Canis lupus familiaris: one gene and its partners. The main gene of each other region encodes a partner of the protein of the gene in region 2 in a complex. Links are inferred from orthologs where the notes say so. Each region holds a gene or a part of one and is shown on either strand. Other genes may lie near its edges.

Evidence for each region.
Region 1: PRPF6 (region 2) and PRPF3 share a complex: the UniProt entries of both Homo sapiens proteins name them as parts of the U4/U6-U5 tri-snRNP complex. The link is inferred for Canis lupus familiaris from reciprocal best matches to the Homo sapiens genes PRPF6 and PRPF3.
Region 3: PRPF6 (region 2) and USP39 share a complex: the UniProt entries of both Homo sapiens proteins name them as parts of the U4/U6-U5 tri-snRNP complex. The link is inferred for Canis lupus familiaris from reciprocal best matches to the Homo sapiens genes PRPF6 and USP39.

What each region holds. Positions count from the first base shown.
Region 1 is NC_049238.1:60,223,062-60,226,711, forward strand, and holds part of PRPF3 (U4/U6 small nuclear ribonucleoprotein Prp3), read left to right. Parts: intron 1-415; coding exon 416-582; intron 583-1,340; coding exon 1,341-1,420; intron 1,421-3,650. UniProt on the Homo sapiens protein: Plays a role in pre-mRNA splicing as component of the U4/U6-U5 tri-snRNP complex that is involved in spliceosome assembly, and as component of the precatalytic spliceosome (spliceosome B complex).
Region 2 is NC_049245.1:48,320,365-48,324,014, forward strand, and holds part of PRPF6 (pre-mRNA-processing factor 6), read left to right. Parts: intron 1-16; coding exon 17-138; intron 139-1,791; coding exon 1,792-1,930; intron 1,931-3,402; coding exon 3,403-3,522; intron 3,523-3,650. UniProt on the Homo sapiens protein: Involved in pre-mRNA splicing as component of the U4/U6-U5 tri-snRNP complex, one of the building blocks of the spliceosome.
Region 3 is NC_049238.1:39,811,775-39,815,424, reverse strand, and holds part of USP39 (U4/U6.U5 tri-snRNP-associated protein 2), read left to right. Parts: intron 1-2,192; coding exon 2,193-2,287; intron 2,288-3,450; coding exon 3,451-3,587; intron 3,588-3,650.

The DNA of each region.
Region 1 (3,650 bases), on a different chromosome or scaffold from region 2:
AAAATCTTAAAAAAAAAATAGTGGAAGGAAATAATTCAAAATGCTCTGAGTGACTGAGGAAAGCTAGCCTGTCTTAACATTTACTGCAGATAAATAACTCCACACGTGAAGAGTTAAACTGACTATATATTCAGTGAATTTTGCTTCTTGTTTTTATCTTCTTAGAATGGGGTTTTCATAAAATGCCAATTTTTGTATTTTGCTACAGGTGAAAGGTGGTGATGAGGGTAGTTGCATGTAAATCAACTAAGGATAAAATAAAGTAGAATGGCTCTTCAGAGTTTTCAGAAATTATGAATTCTTTGCATTAGACATAAACAGTTCAACGAGGGTGCTTTAAAATTTGGGATTCTTTCATGTCCTTGTTTTCTGTGACTCTGGTTTATCTTCGCATCTTGGTTTATCTTGTCTTTAGGCTCAACTGGAGAAGCTGCAGGCAGAGATCTCACAGGCAGCTCGAAAAACAGGCATCCATACTTCAACTAGGCTGGCCCTCATTGCTCCTAAAAAAGAGCTAAAGGAAGGAGATATCCCTGAAATTGAGTGGTGGGACTCTTATATCATCCCCAATGGCTTTGACCTGTGAGTTTGTTAGTTAATATTTTTTAATAAGGCTAGAATTTTATTGGGAGAGATGATACTCATGCATTAAGTAAAATCTTAAAATCCTGAGGAAATAGGTAACCATACACAGGCTTATGTATTGGTGAAGAATATGTTGTATAGGTTTCTTTAGTTTTGGGGGTTAACAGAGGAAGGAATAGGCACAAATCTAAAAGGGAAAGGATGTAAATTTTGTACTTGGTTTTGTTATACATAATTATTTGTTTTCTTAATGATTTTTTTTTTTTTTTTTTTTTGCTACTTATAATAGATTTTTACATTTCTTAAAGATCTGTTCCTAGAACAAGAGGAAGGATAATTGATTCAGGAGAGAATGGTTAAGAAACATTTGGAGAGCTTTAATTATATCTGTTCTATAATTCTGATACATGGCTTTAAGAGACCGTGTCTCAGCCTTTCTCCTTTCCCTTCTTTTGTCAATCACTGTCCCAGGGAGTTCTTGTTATTTGTTAGAGAATTTTACATCCATCAGGGATGTTAGGGTAGGAAAAAGGTTGAGAATGACTAGTGTGGAGAGTATGTCCAACCTTAGTGGGACCCAGTTTTCTCATCTTAAAAATTATGTGTAATATAATTACATGTTGTAGATATGCAAACACTAAAAACTACTAGAATGCATTGTGAAGAGTGCATTTTTTCATTGTGTTTCTGAGACTCCCTCTCTTGGAATTGTCTCTACCCACATATCTTGTTTTCCCTTTTTCCTCCAATTTTAGTACAGAGGAAAATCCCAAGAGAGAAGATTATTTTGGAATCACAAATCTTGTTGAACATCCAGCCCAACTCAACCCTCCAGGTAATGTGTAGATTACTCAACTAAGGTTCTAGTTAAATAGAACTTCATGTGATAATGGACATGTTCTCTACCTGTGCTGTCCATATAGTAGCCACTATCTACTAGTGACTTGAGCTCTTGAAAATTGGGTTGCGCTAATAAAACTGAAAGACTGAATTTTAAATTGTATTCAATTTTAATTAATTTCAATTTAAATAGTGTATGTATCATGATCTTAGGGTTGTGGGATTGAGCTCTGCTAGGTATGGAGCCTGCTTAAGATTCTTCTCTCTCCCTCTGTCTGATGTGTTTTCTCTCTCTCTCTCCTGTCTCTAAAGTAAAGAAATCTTTAAAAATAGATAGAATATGTGGCTATTGACTACAATATTGGACAGTGTAGCTCTAGAGCACTGAGGCTTAATCTAAAGATAGTTTCACTGATATATATTACAAGTTAGGTTTTAAAAAACATTCTTGGGGTGGCTGAGTGGCTCAGTCAGTTAACCATCTGACTCTTGATCTCATTTCAGGTCTTCATCTCAGGGTTATGGGTTTATTTATTTATTTTTTATGTTTTATTTTTTTTTAAGATTTAATTTATTTATTCATAGACAGAGAGAGGCAGAAACACAGGCAGAGGGAGAAGCAGGTCCCATGCAGGGAGCCCGATGTGGGACTCGATCCCGGGTCTCCAGGATCACACCCCAGGCCGCAGGTGGCGCCAAACCGCTGTGCCACCAGGGCTGCCCTTATTTTTTATTTTTAAAGATTTGTTTATTTGTTTATTTATAAGAGACACAGAGAGAGAGAGAGAGAGAGAGAGAGGCAGAGACACTGGCAGAGGGAGAAGCAGGTTCCATGCAGGGAGCCCGATGTGGGACTCGATCCCAGGTCTCCAGGATCACACCCTGGGCTGAAGGTGGCGCTAAACCGCTGAGCCACCCCGGGCTGCCCAGGGTCATGGGTTTAAGCACCACATTGGGATCCACACTGGGCATGGAACCTATTTTAAGAAAAATAAAAAACATTCTTATCTCTGACTCCCAACTCCAGTCTTGTATACTTTTACTAAATACCTGCTCTTTTTCAGTCATCTTTGTCTTTAGCCTTTCTCTCTATCATTTTTTTTAGCAAAAACCTATTGGCTCACTCAAAAGAGAAAGGTTTTAGTTGTGGCTGTGTTTTTAACTAGCTGAATCCCTTGGGTAAATCACTTAGCACACAGAACTTTCTCATAAGTAGAGATAATATTAACTGTTATACCTTCTTCAAGAGTTATGTAGGTCATAAAAGATTTTTACACTTTGATCAGATTTGGGATGAATAGAAGAGATAATATTTCAATTAGTAAATTTGGAAAAATAGATTAAGACCTTGAGGTGTGGGATCCCTGGGTGGCGCAGCGGTTTAACGCCTGCCTTTGGCCCAGGGCGCGATCCTGGAGACCCGGGATCGAATCCCATGTCGGGCTCCCGGTGCATGGAGCCTGCTGCTCCCTCTGCCTGTGTCTCTGCCTCTCTCTCTCTGTGACTATCAGAAATAAATAAAAATTTAAAAAAATACTAAAAAAAAAAAAAAGACCTTGAGGTGTTACAATGTATGATAATCATTCAATATTAGTTAATCAGAGTATACTTAGTTGTCATCATTGTGAATTATTAGAAGAACATGGGGGATTTTGTTTGTTTTAAAAAGTGAGTGGTGCCTGGGCAACTCAGTTGAGTGTCTAATTCTTGATTTCACCTCAGGTCATGATCTCAGAATCATGAGATTGAGGGGAGCCCTACAGGCTCAATGGGGAGTCTGCTTGAGATTCTCTCCCTCTACCCCTCCCCCTACTAGCATGTGTGCAGGATCTTTCTCTATAAAATAAATTAACAATTTTTTTTAAGATTTTATTTATTTATTCATGTGAGACACAGAAAGAGGCAGAGACACAGGCAGAGAGAGAAGCAGGCTCCACACGGGGAGCCCGATGTGGGACTCGATCCCAGGACTCGAGGATCACGCTCTGAGCTGAAGGCAGAAGCTTAACCACTGAGCCACTGAGCCACATCCCTAAATAAACAAATCTTTAAAAAATATTACTAAAAGATTGAGAACACACCTGGCTGCCTCAAATCAAAAGAGCATGAGACTCTTGATCTCAGGGTTGCGAGTTCAAGCCCCATTTTGAGTGTAGAGATTACTTAAATAAACTTTTAAAAAATAATAATAACAAATAAAATTTAAGAAAATTAAATAAACTGCT
Region 2 (3,650 bases):
TGTCTCTTTGCTCTAGTGTGTGGCCCACAATGCCCTGGAGTGTGCTCGAGCTATCTATGCCTACGCCCTGCAAGTGTTCCCCAGCAAGAAGAGCGTGTGGCTGCGAGCTGCGTACTTCGAGAAGAACCACGGCACCAGGTATGTGCTTGGTCCCCAGGTGCGGGCGCTCTCCACCCCCGTGTGCTCGTTGATCCTCTGACACCAGGTTGGGTAGAGCTGAATATAAACCTCATGTGCCCACAGGTGGGTGAGGGCCTGAACTGGGATCCAGTCGTCTGTGACGAGGGGCAGAGGCTTCTCCGACACTTGAGGCTGTGAGCTCTGTATGGCTCCTTCTGTGATAGGGCCAGCAGTGCTTCAGAGTTGAGACTGAGACGCAGTGTCTCTGCAGAAGTAGAAGTGCCTACAGCTGAGCTGGCGGACGCCTGGTGGCCGATGGGGTGCCTGGGGCGAAGCAGGGGCCTGCAGCCCTGTGTCTTGCCAGCGGTGGCTTTAGCAGTGTGGGCGGTGTGGCGTCTGGGCCCAGGCAGGCATGGTTTTCATTTAAGCTGTGCTGACTTTGGGTTTGGGCTAGTTTTGTGCTCTGAGGAGGTCCTTGACAGTTTTCTCTAATTGTATTCTTTAATTGAAAAAATCTTTTGGATCTGCCTTATTGGCTGTAACTGCTGATTAAATTAGGTGTTGCAATTTCTGGTGTTCAGGGGGTGTCTCTCCGGGGCAGCGTCTCTCATGTTGCTGTGCGTGCTCTCTGCCCAGGCCCTCTGCTGCTCTTCCCTGTGCTGGGTGGGGTGTGGGGGACAGGGCTTCTGCTAGGAGCACCGGGGCCCTAGTTCTTTCCTTGCCCGGCATTGTCGAATCTCAGTCTGGTCAGGGTGTCTGTCCACGTGCGTTGCTCAGAGCTCCTGTCTCATCCCCACTCCCACCATCTCATTTGGGGTTTCGGAATTAACTCATTTGGGGGTGCTTTGAGAGGACTGTGCTGGGCACCCTGTACAAGTTCACCTGTGACAGTCCGTGTCTGGAGCAGGGCCTCCCCTGCCAGGTGTGGTTTGTGGATGTGCCTCGCTGCCACTGCTGCCCTTGGTCCCTGGGCTCGGGGCAGTTCCCCTCCCTGTCTCTGGCACCCTTCCCATCCGGCTGACTCATGGAATGGAATGGTGAGAGGAGGTGGGGCACTCGGGATCTGGGGTCCTGGTTCTGGTGTTGCCTGGGAAGCAGGATGTGCTCTCTCTCGGGCTTCATACAGAGTGAGTTCTTCGTCTTGCTGCCGAGGCCCAGAGAGGTCGTTTGTGTCAGGTGGTGCCGCAGAGCGACAGTGGCCACGGGAGGCGTGGGGGCCTCACACCCAGCACCCACACTGGCGGTACTCTTGCTCCGTAGTGACCAAAGTAGCTTTTTTCCAGTAAGCCTTTTTCTTTGGATACCAAAGAATAGATTCTAGGTCGTAATCTTTATCGGCGGATCTGTGGTTACAGATGAAAAGAGCTCTCCTGTCACCCAGACCGTGAAGTTATCATTCCGCTCAGGACACAAAGCCATAAAAGGGCCCCTGAGAAGTCCCTCCATTGGGCTTAGCCACGTAACAATGCCTTGCTTTGTAGCACCCTCTTTGGTAGTTGATTTTAGAACCTTTATGAAGAGAAAAGATTTCCCCACACTCTCCCCATTGTAAAATCTGGTAAATCATTGATAGCGCCGAACTTTGGAGCAGTAACTGTCTTTTCAGCACCCACGCTGAGGCTGTGAGCACCCTGTGTGCTCCGGTGGTGACCGTAGCCCCCTCTCTTCCAGGGAGTCCCTGGAAGCGCTCCTGCAGAGGGCTGTGGCCCATTGCCCCAAAGCGGAGGTGCTGTGGCTTATGGGCGCCAAGTCCAAGTGGCTGGCAGGGGATGTGCCTGCAGCAAGGAGCATCCTGGCTCTGGCCTTCCAGGTGGGTTGAGGGGTCATCTGGGCTGCAGGGGGCGTGTGCACTGGAACCCAACCTCCGTGTCTGTTGAGGACTGAGGGCTTCAGGGTGCGTGTGCCCTCAAGCCCTCCCCCTGCTCACTGACGGGAGCCGACCCAAGGGAGGAGGTGTGTGTGGTCAGGATGCACCAAACTTAGGGTGCTCTGCAGGCAGTCGGGGTCCTGAGAGGGCCCACGGGCAGGACAGTGGCCAGGAAGTGGACCTACCCCTTGGTCGTGGCCCCTTGGTATAACAATAGCCCAGATTTTCCAGAACCCAGAGCACAGGGCCAGCAGGTGACCTTCCCCAGCTGCATGGAGCAGTTGCCAGAGACCACCGTTTCCCCACATAAGAGCACAGTGACAGCCTCTTTCCTATGAGAAAATTCAGTTGTCCAGTCCCTGCGGGGCCACCTGGAGCCACTGGGCATCTGGCTCCATTCAGATGGAGGCGTTCCATTCAGACAGCTGCGCGTAGCCAGGCTCGTTACGGCTGATGTCGTGAGCGGGGCGGTGTGGGTGCTAGGAGCTTGCAGTAGAGTCAGCGTGCGGTGCTCCATCAGTTTCAGGAAGGGTACGGCCGTAGCGATTCAACACTTCCATGTGTCATTCGGCGCTCACAGCATATGTTTTTATGAAGTGTTGAGTGCAGCGCAACTGTCAGTGTGTTGTTGCAGCCCTGACTAGCGTGACAAGGTTGGCCCTTGAGTAAAGGCTGTGAGAGGGGGTTGGCCTATACCTGGCCTTTTGCTTTCTGCTGTCTGCTGGAGGACAGCCACGTGTTGAGGACACTGCTCCCGTCTGAGTCACAGATTCTCCTGCCATCTCCCTGGACACTGCAGCTTGTCCCCAACACCACCCTTCAGGTGCCTGTCGCTCTGGGGCTGCTCATCAGGTCTGTGATGCGGCCAGGCAAGTGTGCCAGCGGGCAGCTGTGCTTTCAGGAGGCTGTGACGGTACTACCCCTGTGTCTGCTGGATTCTGGGTTGTAGGTGGCCCAGTGCTAGCCCGTGGAAGCCCTCCGCACTGTCAGCAATGCCCTGGGCATCCTTCTTTCCTACTCCCATGGACGCACTGAGATGGCCAGTTCCTTGTCAGCAGGCGTGAGAGAGGGTTGGGTGTGGCCAATCCATACAGGTAGGACGTGAGTGAGCTGTTTCAGCTTTGAGAGGCCACGAGGGCTTAAGGTGGGCCACGGAGAAGGTGGCTCTGCCACTGCCGGTGTTGTTGCCTGGGTGCCCACAAAATGAGCAGGCTTGTTTTCAGGTAGGTCAGCATTCTTGGGCTGGACCCAGCTTTGTTGTCCGTTAGCCCTGGACGTGCTTATTAGATTAGACTGTCCTGCAGTAGAGTGAGGCCCCGGCCCCACACCCAGGCTGGCTGCTTTTGATTAAGTGTAACCTAGCGCAGGCCACTGTGCTCTGATCCCACCCGGCCACGGCTGCACTCTCCCTCCAGGCCAACCCTAACAGTGAGGAGATCTGGCTGGCTGCTGTGAAGCTGGAGTCCGAGAACAACGAGTATGAGCGAGCCCGCAGGCTGCTGGCCAAGGCGCGGAGCAGTGCGCCCACTGCCCGGGTGAGCAGGCTGCCCTGGGGCCTATGGGGTCCGGGAAGCGTGAGGTGCCACTAAGGCCCCAGTACTCTAGGGCTGTTGGTTCATCCTTGGCTTTGAGATGTGTTTCTGCATTTAGACCCCCTGCTTTC
Region 3 (3,650 bases), on a different chromosome or scaffold from region 2:
CCTCCTGCCATGTTTATTAATCGTTACCTTTTATTTATTTATTTAAAAAGATTTTATTTATTTATTCATGAGAGACACACAGAGAGAGGCAGAGACATAGAGAAGCAGGCCCCCTGTGGGCGACCCGATGTGGGACTCCATCCCAGGACCTTGGGATCACGCCCTGAGCCGAAGGCAGATGCTCAACTACGGAGCCACCCAGGTGTCCCCAATCCTTACCTTTTAATATAAAGTGTCAGAGGGCATTTTCTTTTTTTAGGAGGTGCATGTACATAAAAAGCTTTTAGTTTATTTTGAATCTGTTTGATGGAATATATATGGTGTCCTTAAAATGACAGTGGCAAATTTAAGTATTTTTTTGAGTACTTACTACATGCTAAGTACTACTTTAGATGGCTGGAATTTAGTAGAGAAAACAGATAAAAATATGTCCTAAAGCAGAAGTAGTTACTTTATCCTTGTTTCATTTCTCTGATCCCAGATGGCATCTTAAGATGTTTTTAAATTCATGCCTTAAGATAGTACTGTTTAATATATAGATTAGATAAGAACTTCTCTCCGTAGTGAAATGACTATAAGGGCTATTTATTGTGGCAGGTGCAAGCCATTTATGGCTAGAGAGGACTTGAAACATGACTTGAGGAACCGAGTTTCAAATTCTAATTATTTTAAATTTATTTATTTATTTAAAAAATATTTATTTATTTATTTATGATAGACAGAGGCAGAAACACAGGCAGAGGGAGAAGCAGGCTCTATGCCGGGAGCCCGACGCGGGACTTGATCCTGGGACTCCAGGATTGCGCCCTGGGCCAAAGGCAGGCACCAAACCGCTGAGCCACCCAGGGGTCCCCTATTTATTTTTTTAAAGATTTTAAATTTATTTTTTCGTGAGAGAGACACAGAGAGAAGGGCAGAGACATAGGCAGAGGGAGAAGCAGGCTTCCTGCAAGGAGCCCAATATAGGACTCAATTCCGTATCGGGGATCACGCCCTAAGCCAAAGGCAGATGCTCAACCGCTAAGCCACCCAGGTGTCCCTAATTATTTTAAATTTAAATGTAAATATTAACTTGTGGCTATTGCCTCCTTTAATGGACAGTGCCGCTTTACTGGGACCATTACCAATTAATTAGAGTTAATGTTTGAGGAGAAATTTCTTTGTCACCTGTGGATTTAATGGAAGTAAAAGTTTTCTGTCCCCCCCCCCCCCCCAAAAAAATGTTTTTTGTCCCTTAACCTGCCCTGTACTCATATAACATTACTTTGCAGTTAAATAAGTACATCTATTTGTAGGTATTCTAATATTCAGGCTTCCCATTTATTTTTATGGACAAAAATCGATTTTTCTTTTATAAAAGGATTTGTTCACTCTTGATGTCTTTTCACTGCCTCTCTCTCTTTTTTTTTTCCCTAGAGAAGGGGGTGGGCAGAGGAAGAGGGAGAGAATCTTGAACAGGTTCCACACCCAGCACAGAGCCTATGTGGGGTTAGATCTCACAACCCTGAATTATGACCTGAGTGAAATCAAGAGTTGGGACATTTAACTGACAGAGCCAACCAGGTGCCCCCCATCCCTAGTCTTTTATTTATGTATGTATGTATGTATGTATTTAGTATTTATTTACTTTTTAAAAAGATTTTATTTATTCATGAGAGAGACAGAAAGAGAGGCAGAGACACAGGCAGAGGGAGAAGCAGGCTCCATGCAGGGAGCTCAACATGGGACTCCATCCCGGGTCTCCAGGATCACACCTCAGGCTGCAGGCGGTGCTAAGCCACTGCGCAAGTGGGACTGCCCCATCCCTAGTCTTTTAATTTGGAATGTTGTTGGGGCCCTGTTGCTTTAGTCCTACTTTTTAGCTTTTCCTCCAGAGAAAGTAACTGCAATAGAAGGTTTTCTACTGGTTGTAAATTTGAAAAAGAAAGAGGGTCATTGGCATTGTATGTCTGGTAGAGATACCTTGACATTGCTTTGGGAATTGGTGTGTAGGGGTGCTATATTAAATGTCTAGGGGAGGAATAATGTTCCTCACAGTTTACATATGGTCGTTGAACTATCTCTGAAGGATGCTATGTGATGTTGTGGAATGTGGAGCCAATGCTGCTTCACTTGGGGGCTTTCCTAGACATCTCTCCCTATTAATTGTTTTTTTTTTTTTCTTTTTTTCTTCTTTTGTTTGGCTCTTTTAGGAGTGTGCTGGACTTTGACTTTGAGAAACTATGTTCCATCTCCCTCTCACATATCAATGCATATGCCTGTCTGGTGTGTGGCAAGTACTTTCAGGGTAAGTAAATGTTGTATATTATAAACTTTCTAAGTTTTCAGTGCTAGCTACAGGTCTGCTCCAGAGAGGTTTTTTACTTTCTTTTAAAGAAGGTAAGCTGCTACCAGGAGTCACATCTGAGAATATCTATCTTTATTCCCAGGCAATTGGGATAATCCTAGGAAATCAATAGGAGGTTCTTCGGTCAGAACCTGTGTATGTATGAAAGGGAAGAAAAACTAGTTGAGGCTTTGTAGGAGGTCTTAAAGGCTGTGGGTTTTTGAATCTCTCATGTTTTCTGTACTCATGTCTTATTTTTTATTTTTTATTATTTTTTTTAAATCCTTTTGCTCTGAGGGCTTTTTCATCCTATTCTTTTCTGGAACTAGTCAATTCATTCAGACCAAGCACATGCTATGTACAGTATGCTGGAGGATTCAAAAGAAACATAAACTACATTCCTTGCTCTTATAAAGAGCTCATAGTCAAGGTTAACACATAAAACAATAAGCAAACTATAAGATCATAAGGATTACTGCTGGACTGTGTGGCAGTGAGTATGGATAAGGACTCTGGGAGTTAAAATATGTAGAGATCAATATTAGCTGGAGCATTTGTGTTTAATTCATGGAGGAGGTCAATGTGGGACTTGAACTGGTAGGACATAGAAGATTGAATGGGTTAAGGTAGAGAGACTCTAGAAAAGAGTGGCATTCTGAACAAAGTTACATAGGTACAGGATTGTCCTGAATGTGGGTGTTTGGAAATGCAGGACTGAATGATGATGGATATTTGTAGTTGTACATGTATATATGCATATCTATGTATGTCTGTGCATGTATTATATATAATCTATGCGTAGGTAGTCTTACTTTTAGATAAAGTGGAACTAGCTCATACACAACTGCATGCACACACACATTTCACATTTATGTGTATGAAATTAGTTTCCCTAACCAATGGTTTATGCCATCCAGGGAATAAAGTACTAATGTGCTATTCTTTTTTCCTCTTTTTTGTGATGGGACAAGTTCATGTAAGAGATTCACTGACCAATTGGTATAGTACTTAGTTTTTGCTGGTATTAGTGTGTTCCAGTACAAAGTTATGAAAGGAAAATCAAATCTGATTTGTGTCTCTCTGGCATCTGTCCTACTCTTACAGCCTTTCATCCTTCCTTACAGGCCGAGGTTTGAAGTCTCATGCCTATATTCACAGTGTCCAGTTTAGCCATCATGTCTTCCTCAACCTCCACACTCTCAAGTTTTACTGCCTTCCAGACAACTATGAGATCATCGATTCTTCCCTGGAGGATATCACAGTATGTGTCCATGAGGGTTGATTTGGAACTAGTTCTCTTGGGAGCCATCCCAGGGCTCCTGGG